3 linked regions of the Arabidopsis thaliana genome follow. The protein of the gene in region 1 binds, or shares a complex with, the protein of each later gene. Each region holds a gene or a part of one and is shown on either strand. Other genes may lie near its edges. The genes, in order: CNGC17, PSKR1 and HA1.

The links.
Region 2: CNGC17 (region 1) and PSKR1 share a complex: the UniProt entries of both Arabidopsis thaliana proteins name them as parts of the functional complex.
Region 3: CNGC17 (region 1) and HA1 share a complex: the UniProt entries of both Arabidopsis thaliana proteins name them as parts of the functional complex.

Annotation. Positions count from the first base shown.
Region 1 is NC_003075.7:14,854,191-14,859,791, forward strand, and holds CNGC17 (cyclic nucleotide-gated channel 17), read right to left. Parts: upstream 3,830-5,601; 5' UTR 3,590-3,829; coding exon 3,561-3,589; intron 3,350-3,560; coding exon 2,593-3,349; intron 2,509-2,592; coding exon 2,210-2,508; intron 2,106-2,209; coding exon 1,994-2,105; intron 1,911-1,993; coding exon 1,674-1,910; intron 1,599-1,673; coding exon 870-1,598; 3' UTR 504-869; downstream 1-503. Other genes in the region: AT4G30370 (RING/U-box superfamily protein), read right to left, coding at 4,553-5,083. UniProt on the Arabidopsis thaliana protein: Probable cyclic nucleotide-gated ion channel. Forms a functional cation-translocating unit with AHAs that is activated by PSKR1/BAK1 and possibly other BAK1/RLK complexes. Required for PSK-induced protoplast expansion.
Region 2 is NC_003071.7:583,191-589,311, forward strand, and holds PSKR1 (phytosulfokin receptor 1), read right to left. Parts: upstream 4,212-6,121; 5' UTR 3,935-4,211; coding exon 908-3,934; 3' UTR 607-907; downstream 1-606. UniProt on the Arabidopsis thaliana protein: Phytosulfokine receptor with both a serine/threonine-protein kinase activity and a guanylate cyclase activity.
Region 3 is NC_003071.7:8,219,686-8,227,598, reverse strand, and holds the start of HA1 (H[+]-ATPase 1), read right to left. Parts: upstream 6,086-7,913; 5' UTR 5,742-6,085; coding exon 5,700-5,741; intron 5,447-5,699; exon of another isoform or gene 4,422-5,446; coding exon 4,302-4,421; intron 4,209-4,301; coding exon 3,972-4,208; intron 3,888-3,971; coding exon 3,126-3,887; intron 3,031-3,125; coding exon 2,908-3,030; intron 2,830-2,907; coding exon 2,725-2,829; intron 2,634-2,724; coding exon 2,489-2,633; intron 2,400-2,488; coding exon 2,235-2,399; intron 2,143-2,234; coding exon 1,904-2,142; intron 1,810-1,903; coding exon 1,777-1,809; intron 1,687-1,776; coding exon 1,605-1,686; intron 1,518-1,604; coding exon 1,357-1,517; intron 1,228-1,356; coding exon 1,054-1,227; intron 970-1,053; coding exon 787-969; intron 701-786; coding exon 519-700; intron 428-518; coding exon 331-427; 3' UTR 1-330. UniProt on the Arabidopsis thaliana protein: The plasma membrane H(+) ATPase of plants and fungi generates a proton gradient that drives the active transport of nutrients by H(+)-symport. The resulting external acidification and/or internal alkinization may mediate growth responses.

The sequences.
Region 1 (5,601 bases):
GATTCAAAATATTAATATATGTTACTATAATTATGATTGTTGAAAACCATTGTTTTCATGATTCAGTTTCCGTTCAATCTAACTTCTTGTGCCATACTATATTGTTATTGTCATTCAAGACCATAAAATTTATTTGTATATTATATGGGACAAGAAATTTTCAGAAACTTTTCAATATGTTAGTTTAAAATATTTACAACTTTTTAAATCGACTAAGAATCCATGATTACATTGAGCTGGTCTTGTGGCCATATTGCAAAAAGAAAAATCCCAAATATGTATGTAATCCTGTAATGTAGATTATGATTTGATCCGACATATCTAGGTCAGTAGAGAAAGCAAGTAAACATTTTAACTTTTTCCCATGGACCAAAGTCCAAACTCATCATTAGTATGATCTTATGTCTATTGATTAAGTGAGTCTACCTTTCTTTAAAAAGAAGCTTGTGTCGATAGCAATATGCAACATGCTCAAGAAAATATATTTTTTCTTTCTTTACCATCTTATTCTCAACGTTACAGTAAGTCAGTAACCACGGCATATAGGGGCTTTGACGAATGGGCTTAGACATCTTTTTACTTCCTTGTTGGTTCAATCAATTTTGCAAGGTTTGATGTGATTTGTACATAATCCACTTCAACTTCCTCATCTTTACATTTAGAGAATTTAGAAACGAGTTCTTTAATAGTACAACAAAACTAATTCTCCAAGCTTATATTACAAAAGATGTTTAAGTGTACAAACCAAAACCCGCCTTGAGTTTCTTTCTTTATGTCTCCCAAAGGAACAGGAAACTTACTCTGTAGTGTTCTTGTCATTAAGATCTTCTATGGAACAAAGTCAGCTTCTTCTCCTGGTTATACATCAGTCAATCATCATGCTCAGCAGAGAAATCAGGCTCCTCGGGTTTCTTAAACCGGGGTAATTCTACATCCTTAACTCTCTGAGCTGCAACACCGCGTCTTGTATTAGCTGCAAAACGCGATGCCAAAACCATAACTCCAAGGTTCATCTTTGTTCTAGGACTCTCCTCAACACACTCTTCTTCTTCTACTACTACTAATTCTTCTCCTACTTCTCCTTCTTCATTTTCCATTGATTCAATCGCAGTGAGGTTATTCTCCATAACTCTTCTCTTGTACCTGCGCCAAGCCGCTTGTATGAAGCAAGCAGCCCAAGTTCTCCAATGGTGAGAGTAGAATCTGAATGTATGTTGAAGCTTCTTGCTGTGTAACCGCCTAAACTGATTTGCAACAAATTTCAAATCTTCAGCTCGAAGAGCGAATGCTTCGACTTCAACTAAAGCCCTAACTGTTCTTGTAGAAGATGGTAAATTCAAGGTTGATTTTGGAAGCAAAGCCCAAGAAAGAAGCTCTTCCCCACAGAAATCTCCAGGTCTAAGTATAATCGAGTTGAAGAAACCGGTTCTGCCTCCATTGGTTGTGGAACTCTCGAGTCTACCTCTGATGATGAAGAGCATCTCTGAGATCAAGTCACCTTCACGTACAAGGTAAGTCCCTTCAGTACACAGAGAAGAAACCAGGCGCTCACATATCGCATCAAGCAGCTGATCATCCATTTGAGAGAAAAATGGGACCTGCATGATTCAAGATAGTAGTTAACCTAAAAGTTGAACCATTTGTAGGATAAACAAATCAATAGAAAAACTTACTCTTCGAACAAGATCTAAACATAGGTGACGTTGAATATCACGGCGAAGATCAGTGGGTAAACTTTGCAGGAGAACCTCTTCATCGACTCCTCTTGTTGCAAGCCACTTATACTGCTCATATCGCCTCACACGGTTTCTCAACTCTTCAGGAAGTTGACGATGTCTCATCCACTCCTCAGTGTCTCTCTTCTTCAATCTCCATTCCTCAAGCCGTACAGTCAAAGATTGCAGATATGTCTAACAAACAAAAGGCAAAACCCAAGAAACATAAGAACAAAAGCAGATACTTTTAGAACTTATCCTAACGCAGGAATCCATACCTGCATATTCCCAATGAGATGGGCAAAGAGGACAAGACCAAAGATTGCAATGAGAACAGCAAATGTGGTTTCGCCCATGAACATGGTCGTGGACAAATTCTGTCCATAAGAACTAGAATATGACAATAACAGGAAAATGTCATCAGATTCTAAAACTTGTAATCAAAAGGAGAGTAATAATTGGTATCAAAAAATTTCTATGATCTCTGCCATTACCTAAGCTGCTGCAATCCCCACCACAAACAGTAGAAATATCTCTCGAAGAACTGTGAAGACACAACGTTTTTCGTGATTGCATTCCCAAAGATCCCATACTTGAACTCGCCATTCCGTGCATCACAGAGTTTAAACACTTTTGTGACATTTGCCCAAGTCATCTGATTATTGTCATACATTGAATCACAGTCTAAGTAATATAGCTGACAATTAACTTGGCCAGCTTCACCATTGCATCTTGATTTCCAGCACGATGTATATCTATCAACCGATAATATATACCAGGCTGCACCAAGCACCTGTCCCAACAAAAACATTGTAGCTTTGATTATCATCACATTTAAGGAATGAAATAATGGAAGAAGAAGGAATGGGATTCATACATGACTAGCCAGCATGTATAGCAAAAGATTATAAGCAGCTCCAGCCCAAGCAGTCTTTGTAACAACTCCAGTTGCTTTAACAATTTGAGAACTTAACGGAATTATCAAATAGAATCTTGGGATGTATTGGAGGAGCACAATCAAAGCAATAGCATTGTTGTTATGATCAAACCGGTAACTTTTTGTAGTCGATATAACAAACCAGATAACTATCTGTGGAAGTGGTAACGTCGCAATGAGATCGATGATGAAGTCAGATTTAATATACCTCCAAGCAATAGCCTTAGGATCCATCACAAGCTCACCTCTACCAAACACTCTAGTACTTGAATTAGGCGCAATGAAACCAGTCCTAAACTTAATGAAAATGTGCAGCAAGTAGAAAAGATCCGCTATTGTCCTGAAGAAAGTAACAAGGATGCTTAAACTTGTATCAGTCCTTGCACAAGGATAGTTTTTATCTCCTCCTATAGCTGGGACAAAGAAGTACAACGGGTCGATGAAGAGAGCAACCATACATGAGACAATGAAGACCCAATTCCATTTCAAGACAATCTCACTTCCTGGATCAAGAATAGTCTTGTACCATGAGACTTTAGAAGATTTGGACTTAGAAGCATCAGTGTATCTAAGTCTATTTCCAGGTAAGAGATTATCAGGTCTTAGTGCTGAAGGTAAAGAGAGCTTATAAGATTTGCTCATTGGATCATTCACTGCCCATTTAGCTTCTTTGCTTTCTTTCCCCTCTGAGTAAAACCTACAAAGCAATACACAACTCAAATCTGTAATCTGAAACCTAACTAGAGATTTAAGTTAAACCCAGTACCCAAAATCGGAGCTTGAGCTTGTAACATCTAAAGAAGAGATAAATCTAAAGCAAAGTCTAGAATTTTTAATTTCTGGGCAATCAAAGTTGAAGACTTTCAGGAACGTAAGTCTAACCGACGGATGAGAGAAAGAAAACTTACATAAGAAGCTTGTCCTTCCTTAACTCCATTAGAAGAAGCTCAAGCTCAAGCTCGAGTAAACAAATCTATGCAAATTAGAATTAACAGAAGCTTTTAAAAATCATTTCTTTGATTCGTGTCTCTGACACTCTCTCACTCTTACTCTCTCTAAATCTGAGAAAGATCGTGTTTTTGTTTAGTTCTTCCGGAGAGGATTGGAAGAGGAGAATCACTGAGTCACGGGACGAGTCAGAAATCGGAGGGATATTTGTTTTTTTTTCTTGGGAATACTTGAGCCATCGGTATAAGACAAGAAAGTCAACACATTTGACTAAAGTGACATTATTTCGTTAATCAAAGTCATTATTAGTTTACAATACAAAACACTAATTAGACAATGTTACTTGTTACTTCACAAAAACACTTCTTTAGTCTTATAGTCAGATCCAATCACAATCACTTTCTCCGTGTGAGTCACAATCTCACATTCCAATCAGAAAACGATTCTTTAGCCTCCTTTATTTTTATGTTCAATATAAACTTTTGAATCACACACTTGAAAACATAGTTGACATAACTTTGGAGGTGAAGTAGGTAAATTAAAATCACATGAACCAAGCTTTACTTAGAACTTATACTTCATCATGGACAAATTGAAACAGAAACATTGATGATTAACCACTGAATCTCAAGTGAAATTATGAGAAATCATTAAGGTAACATAAGCAACATGTTTAAAGTGACAAATGGACAACATTTCTATCAGTAATTGACTAGATTGAATTTAATAATTGGCATGATAATCAAACCTCAAACTAAGTTAAATTCTACAGAAACCCATCATTCTCTTATTGGATCAAATTCATCAAACGGTGAAGAAACAAGCTTTCAATTGTGAAGCCGTGTAAAAAAAAAAAAAAGACACTGTACATGACTATTGATGAAAACCAAAATTGCTGCTAAATATGATAACAAACTAAACACACTTTCAAATCTAATTATAAAACCACCGATCAAAAAATTTCACCTTGTGGTCTCCATCTTCTTCCTTCTTCAAATCTATAAACCCTATCCCTACAAATCGGACAAGTCGAGACTTTAATCAACCACAAGTCCACACACTTTCGGTGAAACACATGTCCACATCGAGGCAGCTTCCGACACCACTGTCCTTGTCTAAATCCATCGATACAAACAACACAATCATCGCCTCCGTACTCTGAACTAGGCTCACAATACTTGAATTGAGGAAGCCTCTTCACGCATCTTGGAGATAACCCATCTGAGTATTCGTGACGGCGATGGCGGCGGAGACGGTGGCGATAGTTTCGTTGAAGAAACCAGTAGAAAGCGAAGAAGAAGGTGAAACCGAGAGACGTGAGGATAAAGATAAAAGCGGTTATAGCTACAGGGATCATGATTAGACCTATGAGGAAGTTAGAGAGAATCTTCGTCGGTAGATTCTTCGTGTTCGCTTTTGGCGGCGGTGGAGACGGTGATGGCTCGCGGGAGATTGAGCCATCGTAGGGAATCGTTATCGACATCGACTTGCGGCGGAGATTAAAAATATTCTCTTTTACGAATCAAACTCTAATACTCTGTTTTAGGGCTAAATAAAGGAGAGATTTTTATGGATTTTGAAGATCGAAAATTTATCGGATTCAAAGTATATTGTACAAAAGAGTTTGTCTGATAGATATTTATATGCGGGAATATTCGGACATCTTTTTTATATCAGTTTTTGACGATAACTTTTTAACTAGTTTTGGCCCTTATGAGAGGAACTCGTGAGCAAAGTCTTTTTTTTTATATACCAAATTTTTCATTAAATTGATTAAATTTAACTAGAAAGAAGAAGATTAAGCGTATATAAACACAAATACACAGACACGTTTTAAAACAATGGGGTTCTGATAAATTATGTTACTAAATTTTGATCATACAGAATGTAGTTTGGCGTTACAAGAAAACTAGAGGAGAAAACAAAGGGCGAAACCAGACTTCATTTAAGGATAAAGTATTGGTGATGAGATTATATAAAATAGGGTTCAGTTTTGGGTTC
Region 2 (6,121 bases), on another chromosome or scaffold:
GTCAAACTAAACCGTATGATTTAAATGACATTTTGAAAAGTTCATGCTTTTTTGTCTCAAATTTAAAAGTTTATGCATTTTTCGATATTTTTTTTTATATTTATCATCATACATAAGTTTTAAACTTTTAATGCTCTTTTTCTTTTTCCTTGTATTTTATTTGTTATATTTTTGGCTGTTTTCATGTAGTGTGGAAGAAAAGCCAGAAGTGAACATCTTCACTATCGAATCTGTAGTCAATCTTTGAAAATTTTTAAGGAACCATTATAGGAAGCGTACTAATCTATAAATTTGTGGTCTTTGGGGACTGAGAAATCGATATATAGAAAACCTTTCTAATGAAGCAAATATTATATTTTGACCTTACAAAGTCATAATCTTTGAATTCTTTTGGTCAAATGAGTTGAACAATATTTTCACACCCATAAAAAATAAGTTAATGTAATGGATTCTTAACAAAAAATTGACTATAGTTGGCCAAAAGGAATTCTTTTGTTGAAGACCAAAAGGAATTTAGCTACCAAATATATATATTTTTTAATTAAACCAAAAATCTCTAAAAGGTATAACATAATCAACAGAGTATCCACAAAGCAAATCACAGAATAAAGATGTAACACAAATTATTAATCTATGTTGCTCATTTAAATTGCTTGAGACATGTTTTTTCAAGAACTCATTATTTCTGAAACACTACAAAAAGATTTTTCATTTTTCTGAGACAGTATATGTTCTGTCTAGTATCTTTAATGTCTGAATCTGAATCATAAACTGAGATAAAAAAAATGGAAGAAGAAAACGAAGAAACAAATTATTATCTGAAAACTATTTACATTGTATCTCAAAAGTATGAAAATCACTCCCTACAAAATGTATCATAGTGTCTCTGATATTGTTCCTCTTTCTTCTAGACATCATCAAGCCAAGAGACTAACTGTTGAGTCGTTGGCCTCTGTTTCGGGTTTTCGCTTAAACATAAACAAGCAATCTCGAGAACCCGAAACATCTCTTTATCATTCTCTTTACTGTATATTAACGGATCGAAAACCTCGCTTGCTCGACTCTCATGCTTCATCTTGACGACCCACGAGATCAGATCCCTACACCCTTTCGGTTTACACATATCCACCGGTCTTTTATCGGTTAAAAGCTCGAGAAGCACAACTCCGAAACTATACACATCGCCTTTGTAAGTAGCAACCGAAGCTTGCCCGTATTCCGGAGGAATGTAACCTAAAGTTCCAACCAAATCAGTACTTACATGCGTCTCGTAAGGACTCATCAGCCTTGCGAGTCCGAAATCCGCTAAATGAGAGTTGAAATTCTCGTCGAGAAGAATATTACTCGATTTAATATCGCGGTGTAAGATATGAGGATCACACCCTTCATGCAAGTAAAGTAACCCTTTTGCAGCACCTTGAGCGATTCTAAGACGTGTTTTCCACTTCAACAACGCTGGACCGTCGTTACGCTCGTGTAGCCAATAGTCTAAGCTTCCGTTTTCCATATACGAGTAGATTAAAAGCCGGTCGTTTTTGTAGAAACAGAATCCTCGGAGAAGAACAAGATTTGGATGCTGTGCTCTTGAGAGTGTTTCAACTTCTGCTTCGAATTCTCTTTCGATTTGACCGCAATCACCGGATAACTTCTTGATCGCAACTTTCTTACCGTCTGGTAACGTTGCTTTGTAAACCATACCAAACCCGCCACAGCCAATGATGTTAGCTTGATCAAAACTATTTGTTGAGTCCAAAAGGTCATCATAAGAGAGCTCTTTATCATTGCTCTGAAACAAAACCACAAGCTTAGATCCAATCTCTCCGAGTTCTTTACGATTCATGCTCTCGGATTCTTCTATCTCCGGATCAACTTCTCCTGACCGTCTACGAGCACGCAACACAATCAACGAGAGAAGAGTCAAAAGAAAAACCGAACCAAACGCTATCCCAATCGCCATTCCAATGTCACCTCCTCTGCTTCTTCTTGACCGTTTGATCAATGCACTCTCAGTACCTTCAGAACAGGGGAATCTGTGTTCCCCGCAGAGATGGTTACTCTCAAAGCTCGAGTTTGGAAACGTCTGAAACTGACCACCGGAAGGTATTACTCCCGAGAGATTGTTATAAGCAACACTGAACTTCGACAGAAACGAGAGCTGTTGCAGAGAAACCGGGATCGAACCCGAAAGACGGTTATTAGAGAGATCAAGAGCTTCCAAGCTCGTCATACCAGAAAGCGAGCTAGGTATTGATCCAGATAATGCATTCCATTTCAAATCAAACACATGAAGCTTCTTCAGATTACCAAACTCCTCCCAAATAGGTCCAGAGAGATTGTTATGACCAAGCTCAATCGTTGGCGGGAACCCGAAAATCTGATTGTATTGCAACGCTCTCGCGCTCTCGTTTCTTTTCATAAAGAACGGGAAATCAGGAGATGGCTCATTGACTGAGATATTACGGCTAGTGAGACTCTCTAACTTAGTTAAGCTCTTAGGGATCTCTCCTGTAAACGAGTTGTTAGATAAATCCAAGTAGAACAGAGCCTTGAAGTCACCAATCCAGCTCGGGATAGCGCCGGTTAAACGGTTCCAAGAAAGATCCAACAACTGAAGTTCATTACTCGAGCTTAACCACCTCGGCATCGAACCAGTAAGCCTACAATTCGCCACTACAAGCACCTTAAGCTTCTCGAAATGAAGACTTGAATCATCGGGTAAAGCCTCTCCATGGAAATTCAATGTAAGAACCAAAGTCGTCAAGTTCTTGCAATGCTGAAGTATCCCAAGCGCTGAAGAGATATTAGCCAAACTCGAATTCGATAACGAGAAGTAAGATAAGCTCTCGAAGTTCTTGAAACTCTCTGGTACTTGTCCATGGAAGGTGTTCCTCGCGAGGTTAACGTTCTTTAACCGCTTGCAATCCGGTAGATTCTCAGGTAACCTCCCATTGAATCTATTGGTACCTAAATCAAGAGAGTTCAAAGCAATCATCGCCGTACAATTCAACATCAAACGACCCGATAAAGAATTGTTCCTCAAGTTAAGCAGATTCAAACTCGGTGAATTCGCCAACGATTTAGGTATTCCTCCAATGAATCCATTGGTCTGACCTAAGAAAAACTTTAACTGAGGCAATTCGTCGAACACATCAGGGATTTCACCGGAAAACAAATTCCAAGAAACATCAAGACGAACAAGACTTGAGAGATTCCTAATCTCACGACTCAACGAACCAGAGAGACGATTCTCTTGAATCCCTAAAAGATTCAATCTTTTGAGATGAAACAAATCCTCAGGGATGTTACCAGTAAGATCGTTCATACCAAGACAGAGATGCTCAAGCAAGACACATTTCCCAAACCCGGAAGTGAAGTTTCCGGCGAAGTAGTTCACCGCAAGTTTCACAACCCTAATTTGAGTAGAGTTATGGCAGATATGAGACGGAAGCGACCCATTGAATTTATTTGAAGAAAGATCAAAACTTTGCAGAGCTGGGAGATTTATACTTGTTGGGATTCCGCCGGAGAGATCATTAGAGCTCAAATCAAGAGTTTGTAGATTCTTCAAGTTGAAAATCGAAAGAGGGATCGAATCTTTGATGAAGTTTCGAGAGAGATTAAGAACCCTAATCTCATCTAGCTTCCCGAGAGATTCAGACAACTTCCCCGACAGCTTTTTGTTCCCAAGCTCCAATCTAATAACTCTTCCGGTGTTGTTTGAATTGCAGGTGATTCCGGTCCAGTTGCAGCAGTCTGTAGAAGAAGAAGAATTGATCCAACCATCTGGTTTTGGTTCGAGATGTGCTATGAAGTCACGTAAGGCTTCGAGGTCATGTGGATGGCACCTGGAGGTGGTCTGAGATTCCGAGGAATAGAAGAAACATAGTAACTCTGTGAGGAAGATGACGATCACACAAAAACGATGAACACGCATTTCAAGAACAGAGGAAGAAGAAGAAGAATATAAAGGAAGAAACTTTGAGAGAAGAATTAAGATTCAACAAAAACCCTTGAGAAATCTGAGAGTATACGAAACGGGTTTTCTGATTATTGCCATTTTAGATGATGATCAATGAAGATGAAGAAGCAAGAGAGAGAAAAATGGCGACTTTTGACTTCAACACGCAACAGCAAGTAGTGGGTGTTGTTTTAATGCAAGCAAAATTCTAGAGAGAGATAGAAAGTGGAAGAGTTGTGTTTGGTCTTTTTTCTGATACAGAGCAAACAGTAAAAATCTTTAAATAAAGAAGAAGAAGAAATAAGAAGCTTTGAATAAATATTATTTTTCCAAATATTTTGTGAATTAATTTGTGTTTTTGGAAAATTTGTTATAGACAAATCTTTTCCGTGTTTTGTCAATTATAATTGAGTGTGTTTAGTCATATATGAAGTCTTAATCAATAACATTGACTTAGGAAAGTCTTTCTCTAAATATTTTTTTTATTTTTTTGTCTAAATCTTTTACTTTGAATAGTTTGTCGTTCAACGGATAGGCAGAAGAAAATTTGGAACGATTAATGAATAATGAATGATGAAAGTGATCGAATTTAGAAAAATATATGCAAAATTATGTGACTATAAATGTTTCTTTATGGTTTTTTGCCGATTATTCTGCAAATGGTAGATTTATATTTTAGTAGTTTCTATGCAATAAAAAGGTAAAGGAGTAGCTTTTATTAATTATATTGATTTTATTTTGCAAATGGTTAATTTTTATATTAAAATTTGATTATGGGTTAATTGAATAATAATTAAAGATGACCGGAGAAGAAGGGAGTGACCGGTTAGGTCAGCTTTGAGGATTTAAGATGAGGACAAGAGAAAAGATAGAAGTCAAAGCACGGACGTTGACACCTTTGCATCTCTCTCTCTTCTCAACTACAATTTTTTTTTTTTTCTATTTACATTAATTATTGACATTGTTTCTCTTTTTTCGCAAGTTGATAATGAATGAAAATAGACCTACTAGATATTCTTTAGTTTCCGATAAAAGCTTCGGAAAAAAATCTTGAGTTTTTTCCATAAAATCTTGAAATACTTCAAAGAGGAAGGTTATCAACTTAATTGTTGTATTTGTTGGTTAAAAGAATCTAATATAGGAGCTATTTTTTTTTAGCTATTTACATGTCCAAATCAATACGTTATAATTCCAATCAAATTACTAATATTAATTTCATATGACCGGACTTGTATAACTTGAAGTTTATAATATCACTATACAATAACTTGACTTCTAATTTAGAAGTATAACTATAAAAGTGTAACGTATGTGAGTTGTAGACGATAAAAAAATAAAAGAACGGTTATATATAAACTATTTTATATTTTATATAAAAGAAACTAAAAAATAGTCGGTATAGGAACATAAATTTCATTGCTTTTTTCTTCAGTTTTTTTATCACCAATTTTCATTGCTAAAGGATTATTTTTTGTCGTTAATACTTTTTTCTTTTAAAAACGACAAATTTAGGATGCGTTAATATTACTTTTATATGTAACGCTATCCTAAATTTTGTCGATAGAATCCGTTATTAATTAATTGGAAAGAATCGAAAAAAAAAAATTAATCTTGGCAGTTAAAAAATGGATTCTCTTATACCTTTGTAGTAATATACACGTTATAGATTGTTCGAAAAAAAGAAAAGGATAATAGATTGTCATTTTAACAAAATAAAACCAAAAAGTCTCACATTTTCTTGCCATGATTTATTTCTTAAAGAAAAATAGGCTGTTTACACAACTTTCTTTGATGGTTTACTTGATTTATAAGTAAATGAGGACAATATGGGTGAATGGTGAATTGAACATAGACATAAAAGACTATATTGCTTAATAAACTAATTAGCCTACATTCAAAGTTGGTTTACCATATAAGAAATCACTTATATAGTTTTCCTAGTGTGTGCATGATCTTTCATAAAGAGATTAAATATTGTTTTACGTGGAAAAGTTAAGATACGATTCCATGTTAATAATAAAATATTAATGTCGATATCTATAATGAAGGAGACAGTCAAAGCATGTGACATCGACTATTCAACTCTATAATTAATCTTCAATACCATGTGGCTCGTAATGGCTTCGATATAATCGGCTTTCGTTAGTCTTTTATAGGTTCTTT
Region 3 (7,913 bases), on another chromosome or scaffold:
TCTTCAAGATGAAATTGATCAAACAGACAAAAGAGTGATAGAATAATCACATTAGGCCATTAAAAAGCAAAGTGCCTTGTCTCTTCAAAGGCAAAGGGCCTTGTTTCTTCAAAGGCAAATTTGCAAAGCTCATATCGAGTAGGAGTTTTAAGAACAATGACTAACAATAACAAAAAGAAAAAAGAGTTTTGGAAGAGTTATGGCAATACACAAGAGTTCTCTTCCCTCTACTGTAATGACTTTTAAAGAGAGATTTGTGAAGACAAAACAAAAGATGAGTCATGATGGGGTTGGTTTTCGGTAAATGTTTGTGTTGTTGTGCAACTCCAACTACACAGTGTAGTGATGTCCTGCTGTATCAATGTCCAATCCCTTTAGCTTTGCGACTGATTCCACATGTCCCTTCAATGTGTGAAGCTCCCTAAGCCTGTCACAACATAATATTAAATCATTCACCAATCAGAACCTCTATCAAATGGCATCTTTCCGTTGAGATTCGTTTTAATCACACTACTTACCTAGCTATCTCGGCCCTTCTCTTGGCTTGCTCTGCGATCTCAGACAGCTCTCTGTAACTTCCTTTCTCTGGGAAGATATTAACATCTTCTTTTGGCTGCAGACCGTGCAATGTCCTTTGAGCTTGTGCCCATTGAGCTTCTCTTTCTCCAATACCGTAATCTTTCTTGGTTGTGAAAGCGGTCTGTTAACATAGAAGAAGATGTGATTAGTATGTTACCATCAGCTTGTAAAAGAGGTCTCTATAGTGGTAGATAGACTTGTATGTACCCTGTTGTCAAACAAGCTGGCCCAAGCCTTTCCACTCAAGATATACCGAATGGCAAACTTCAAAATGTCCTGTGGGAAGTATGTTACGATACTGTAAATCCAAATCACACCTGCCCATCCCCAACCGATACCCTTCACCTTTGCAAATGTCCAGTCGGCATACACTGCGATCAAAGTTGCAACCTGCATTTGGAAGGAGTGAATGAATTCAGTGGGTTTCTTTAACCTAATCGAAGTTCAGAAAATATGTGTGCTTGATGTCCTTACCAGTTGTGCAATGACGAATGCAATCATCAGAAGCGCCCCAGGACGTTCGACAAATGACCAACTCCTTGACCTGGTGACAAAGATTAGAGCTTGACTGATGATACTAACTTGTAGATACACAGCACCCATTAGTTCATCGTTATTGTCCCTGATTGACCTCACACCGAACTTGTCCTGCAAATCGAAGGTGAGACAATTTTTTAAGACTCAGAGCAAAAGGCCTGGCCATATATATCTATATAGTCCCTGAAGCACCTGTACCAAAAAAAAGAGAAAAGAAATGAAAATAAACTGATGATGTACCGAGAAAAAGTCGGTCTTGTGAGCAGCCCAGAAGAAAATAACACTCATAATGGCTTGGTAGCCTCCCAGCACAATTCCAGTGGCGAAAATTTCTTTGAGCTTCCAGCTATCAGGTGTGGGAGATGGCTTGACTCTGTCCTTTGAGATTGTCATGATAGTACCTAAAAGGTAGTAACACATAATACCATAAGATATAGCTGATAACGAGTGAGGACGCTGTCTAGAAAAGTAGGATGTTATTTGCTCACCATCATTAAGGATGGCAATAATCAGAACCATGAACGCTGAGAAGTCAAATTCCCATATCAAAGCAATAAGCATGAAACCAAACTGCAAGAGTTACAACGCAATATGATCAGTATACAAAAAGTAAAATCATGCTAAACAAGTGATAGATTTGTAAAACGGGTTTCTACTTACCACAATACGGATTGTGATTGAGACTGCATAAATCTGTCACAAGCAGGAAACTAAAATTATTAGTTTCCAGCGCAAACGAACACAAGTGGTGGGCATAATATATTAGAGTGAGATTAAGAATACGCACGGTGTAGTTCTTCATTCTCTGGAAGATAGCTCTGCTAGTGAGAACGGCACTGATGATGACACTCAGCCCAGGTTCCGTGAGGACGATATCTGAAGCACCACGAGCAGCATCTGTAGCATCGGCCACAGCAATACCGATATCTGCTTTCTTCAAAGCGGGTGCATCATTAACACCATCACCGGTCATACCAACAATGTGCTTCCTCTCCTGCAGCTTTTTCACAATTTCATATTTGTGCTCTGCAATCAGTAACCATAAGAACCTTGGATCAATATAACAAAACTTTATAATGAACATGTGATGAGGTTTGAAACTGAAAGCAAGGCATAACCTGGAAAGACGCCGGCAAACCCATCAGCCTTCTCGATCAACTCCTCAACAGGGATGGATGCAATGTTCGAGTCCTTGTCGGTACCGAGAAGAGCCGCAGATGGATACATATTGGTTCCCATTCCAAGCCTGCGACCGGTTTCCTTACCAATAGCAAGTTGATCACCTGGCAACGTAGTTAGAGCGCAAGTTAGGGGAAAACATCTAAATAACCATGGATTTCATGGGAAAAAAATGATGAATAAGAATAGTTACCAGTGATCATCTTCACATTAACACCTAGATTCAACGCCCTACGAATGGTTTCGGCACTGTCGTGTCTTGGAGGGTCAAAAAGAGGCAACAAGCCAACAAATTCCCATGGTCCACCTGGGCTTTCTTTTGTTTTCTCGGGTACCACCTAAAAAGGAATATGCAATTAAACAGTTGATTTACAGGCCAAAAAAAAAACCCAAATAAGACCAATGTAAAAATTGCTTGTAAAAAAGTACCTGACGAGCTACTGCCAACGACCTAAGACCGCGCTCAGCGTACTTGTCAATACAAGAGAGTACCTTCTTCCTAAGGTCAGGCCTGGCATTGGCAAGGTCAAGGATCTGTGTGGGAGAATCGAATTAGTACACAGAATAAAGGAAAAACGCAACATCTTTAGGAGAAAGTTGAAGATTCATCACCTGCTCGGGAGCACCTTTGCTGACTCTGTGCCAGTTACCATCAGAGTCGATGTAAGTCAAAGCAGTTCTCTTATCCACAGGGTTGAATGGAAGGAAGTGAACCTCTCTGATTCCAGCTCGGGCCTATGAAAATCCAAGTGAAACATAAGAAATTAAGAACTTGTTTTCTCGACCTTTCACTAAACTAAAGAAGTAATTCAAAATGATTAGAGTTATACCTCTTTCGGATCAGCAAGCATTCCAACCATGGCTGCATCAATAGCGTCCTGGTTCTCCACCCTAGAAGCCATAGCTGCAAATAGTAGAACTTGATCTTTCTCCACACCCTTGCAGAAAACCTCAACCAAGTTTTTATCCACACTCAATTTATTAAGGGTTAGTGTCCCGGTTTTGTCACTGCAAAGGACATCCATTCCCGCCATTTCTTCAATGGCTGTCATACGTTTGGTGATAGCACCTTGCTGAGACAACCTGTGAGACCCGATAGCCATAGTCACAGACAAGACCGTGGGCATAGCAATGGGGATACCACCGATCAAGAGGACCAAGAGATTGTCAATTCCATCTCTGTACTTTCGGTGTTGGATAGGGTACATGACGACTATTTCAATCGCTATACCAATAGCAATAGAACAGATACAGAAGTTTCCAATGGATGTAAGAACTTTCTGGAAGTGCCCAACTTGGTTAGTGCTGTCCACAAGGTGAGCAGCTTTACCAAAGAAGGTGTGAACTCCAGTGGCTATAACAACCGCTTCGATTTCTCCTTGTTTACAAGTTGAACCAGAGAAAACTTCTTGACCAGGGTGCTTGGTCACAGGAAGGGACTCTCCAGTTAGAGCAGACTGATCAACCTTTAAAGGATCTCCTTCAAGAAGACGGGCATCGGCTGGGATAATGTCTCCAAGTTTAATGCTAACAATATCACCTGGGACAAGGATAGCAGCCTCTTGTTCACTCCATTTTCCATCCCTAAGAACCTGAAAACAGAGAAACAGGTTAAGCTCTCTAGAAGTCTCGAAATATCTTGTACAGTAATGTCACAGCATCCACCAACATATTACCTTGGTTTTAGGAGCAAGACCAGCCATGAGAGCAGCTGCAGCATTTCCGGCGTTGTTTTCTTCAATGAAACTGATTGTGGAGTTGATAACAAGCAGACAGATAATACCCACAAAATCTTGCCAATCCGGAGGTCGATTATCACCATTAGCCAAAGCAATGGCCATGAGAGCTGCAGCTTCCATAACCCATGAAAGCGGATTCCACATGAACCCCAGAAACTTCAGAATTTTGCTTTCCTGATATTTTTTTACGAAAGATCAACCTCGTGAGTTAAACAAAACCAAAGCTTTCAATGATGATAAAACAACAATGCTAAGTCAAACTCAAACCTTCTTCTCTTCGAGCTTGTTGGGGCCAAATATCACAATCCTGTCTTCCCCTTCCTGCGTTGTCAATCCTTCCCTTGTACATTTTAGCTGCTGGAAAACTTCCTCAATCGGAATTTTTTCCTGAGAATCAAAGCAAAAGTTTTGATCAGAACCCAAACAATAGTAACTCAAACATCAAACAAGAACAAAAGGGTAAAAAAGACAAAAACTTTTCTAGTTTTGAAATCTTTTTACAAATGTCAGAAACGATCCAACTCGGCGACTCGGAAGATGAAGAGTGGCGTTGACTCAAGTTGTGACAATGAAAGGTGAAAAGAATCTGGCAGTGGAGGATAGAGGGACCACCACCACCACCACCACTACTACTACTACTTCAATGCACGTGTTATGGAACGTGTAACACACGCGCCTGCGGGATTCCCTCCATGAAAGGTGGCTACTTTCCGGCGTGAAAGCCAAAGTCCGGTTAAGGGTATTTCGGTCATAAAACAATTTCACTAAACAAAATCAATTACAATAGAGGAATTCACAAGTTGCTTCTACTGATAGATGTTTTACAAAAGGACAAAGAAGTTCAAAAAAAAAAAAAACGTACTACGGAAAGGTACATCAAAAAAATTCGAACATCAACAACAATTTAAAAAAAAGTTGAAAACTTAAATTTATTAAAAACTCTGGTATTTTTCATGGGTGGAAGATAGAAGAATATTATGAACTGCTTTAACATCAAAAACGTTATCTTTACAAAAAAAAGATGATTTTTTTTAGAGAAAGAAAGTTATATATCACAAGCAAAATCAAACTTTTTGCGATTTTTTTCTCTTTTAATAAATATGTGAAAGAGACTTTTGTTGAGACGTAGCTTAAGCTTAGCTCCACCACTAAAAAGACTTATCTTTTTATTCAGCGTTTCACATGTGTGTAGTTTTTGGGTAGATCTACTTTTTCTGATGAACAGTATCAAAATCTACTTATTTTTGGCTTAATACCTAAAACCTTTAAAAGACATCTGTTATTTTACCCTAATTTTAGACCAAAATTAATAAAGTTGGAATCTTGATTTGGGTTTTGTATAGGATCCATGATAGAATCATCGAAAATGAGGCAGATACAATTGGGGGGAAAAATCGGTTTTTTTTTTTTTTGCGGATTTTTCGGGTTCTTGAGGAATTAAGATTCAGTTTTCGATCAAAGAAAAAAGGAGTAGAATCATCGGAAAATGATTTGAAGAAAAAAGGGTAAAAGAATCAAACGTGAAACCATGCAAGGAACAACAACGAAACAGATCTATTTCTCATTCAAGCAAATCATCGAACACTTTGTGGGCATGATGAATAAACACTAAAAATGAAATTAAAAACTCGAAGAATTTAAGCGAGAAGAGAATCGAAATAATACCAGATCAACGGTCTCGTTCTTGATATCTTCGAGACCTGACATCTTCACCCAGAAGAAATCAACAAAACGACGCCCCTCTCTGTCGTTTCACCACTCGATCACACACACACACACGAGAGAGAGAGAGAGAAAGCGAGCTTCTGTTGCAGAGGAGATATACGCCTTCTCTTTTTATAACCACTCAAAACGACGAAACTCTCCACCGTTTCAGACTTTTATTTTTCATTCATTTCGACCGTTGATTATGATTTGGTGATCATCAATGGTTGTTAATTGTTTATGGGTCCTTTCTCACTTGGAAAACGTATATTTGACTTTGGATTTTTGGTTTTATAATTAAAATTTCAGATATCATACTGTTTTTTGAAACATTGTTTACTTAAACTGGTTTTATACTCTGATCCTGTAATGTAAGAGAATCTATATTTATTTTTTTCTATTAAGAGAAACTTTTTACTTTTGAGTATCAAATTTAGTAGAAATCTTAACATTAACACAAATTTAGGATAATATACTAAACTTACATAAGAAATTTAATTCTATGGAGTTAGTATTTTTCTAGATATTTATGCATATTAGAATATGATTTAAAAGACAAAACTGTAATGTATAGATTTTAAAAAATTATACAGTATTGAATTATCATAAGAAAAATATCTAAGATAAATTTAAATTTTTGATTAATATTGTGGTTATGTATGGACAGAAAATATGCACAATCATAAGTTCTTCACTGATATCTTTTTGTGTATATAAAATTGATAATCAATAAGGAAAAATAATATACATAATAATTATATGAACATTGAATAATGCTTAAAATTTGGGTTCTTTTTTGTTCCCAAAGAGTTGTGCAAAGCTAATCTTAATGACTTCTATATAAGTTACTCATTTTGAAGGAAAAAAAAAACAAACAAAATTTAAAATACATACATGGATTTGTGAATATACATATATATATATATATATATATATAGAGAGAGAGAGAGAGAGAGAGAGAGAGTAATATAGATATAACATGTATATTTGATATATGTGTGTAGATACTAACTTTATAATTCCCTATGAGACAAATGCAAAAGTTATTTTCTAGATCAACCTAATTTGCTCATAAGTTTAATTTTCATGTTGATTGTTTAGGTCGGACTTTTAAATCAAAGTGTTTTTAAAACAATTCGTATGTAAACATTTTTCCTTCGGATTATACAACCAATCAAAAAGTTGAATTTTAATTAATTTGTAATTGGAAAATTAAAATCAACCCGTATAATACTAATTTGTTTAATAATATGTTAAATAATAGTGGCGAAGTAGAAACCGAGAAAATAAAAATTTAAATGATAATTACTAATTGAGATAAAAAAAACTAAATATTTTCTAAGTTTAGTGAAACATAAAGTTAAAATGACGATTCTAAAACACTATTTAAGAATACCGATGTTGAAAAGAGATGTTCATAAATTTATTACTGATGTTCAAATAAATTAACTTGACCTGTTTTAAAGGTGGTGAGTACACTAAATTAACTTGATTTGGTCTCTTAAGGAAATTAAAAGACAAGTGTGAAAAAAAAAAAAAAAATTAAAAGACAAGTTTCTTCCAGAAAAAGGGATGTTTTGAAATATAAAATTAGGTTTAGACACAGATTATAAAATTTAGGAGTTTGGGGGAAAATATTCAGATGACGTCGATCTAAAACTATAATAAAACACATATTAAGCTAGTAATGATATAAAACAATTTGTTATATGTGAAATTTTGGTAATCCTAATCTCATATTTATGGCTTTAAAGGATTGTAATGAAGCAATGGCTCTTCCAAGGTGCCTCATGGCAAGGTCAGCAATTGCTGGAACAATTCACATGTTTGTGGATATCATTATTTTTGTAATTTAACCAAAAATTGTTTTCAAGGTTATTTATTTATTTATTCAGCAAATTGGCTGATGAATATTGACTTTTTGATCGTGCTGGGTCCCCCAATAATACACCTCCCCTACGTAATTTTTTTTTCTTGCTTCCATAAATTCGATTGTATTTTATCTAAAAGATCGATTTCATAAGAGAATTTTAAAAACAAAGAAACAAGAAGATGATGGTTTAATTCAACTGGATATATATCGGCACATATGGGCAGGTTTTTCTCATTTATTATTTGATCATTTATGTATCTGATAGACAAAATCAATTTAACTTTCATAGGTAAATACATAAA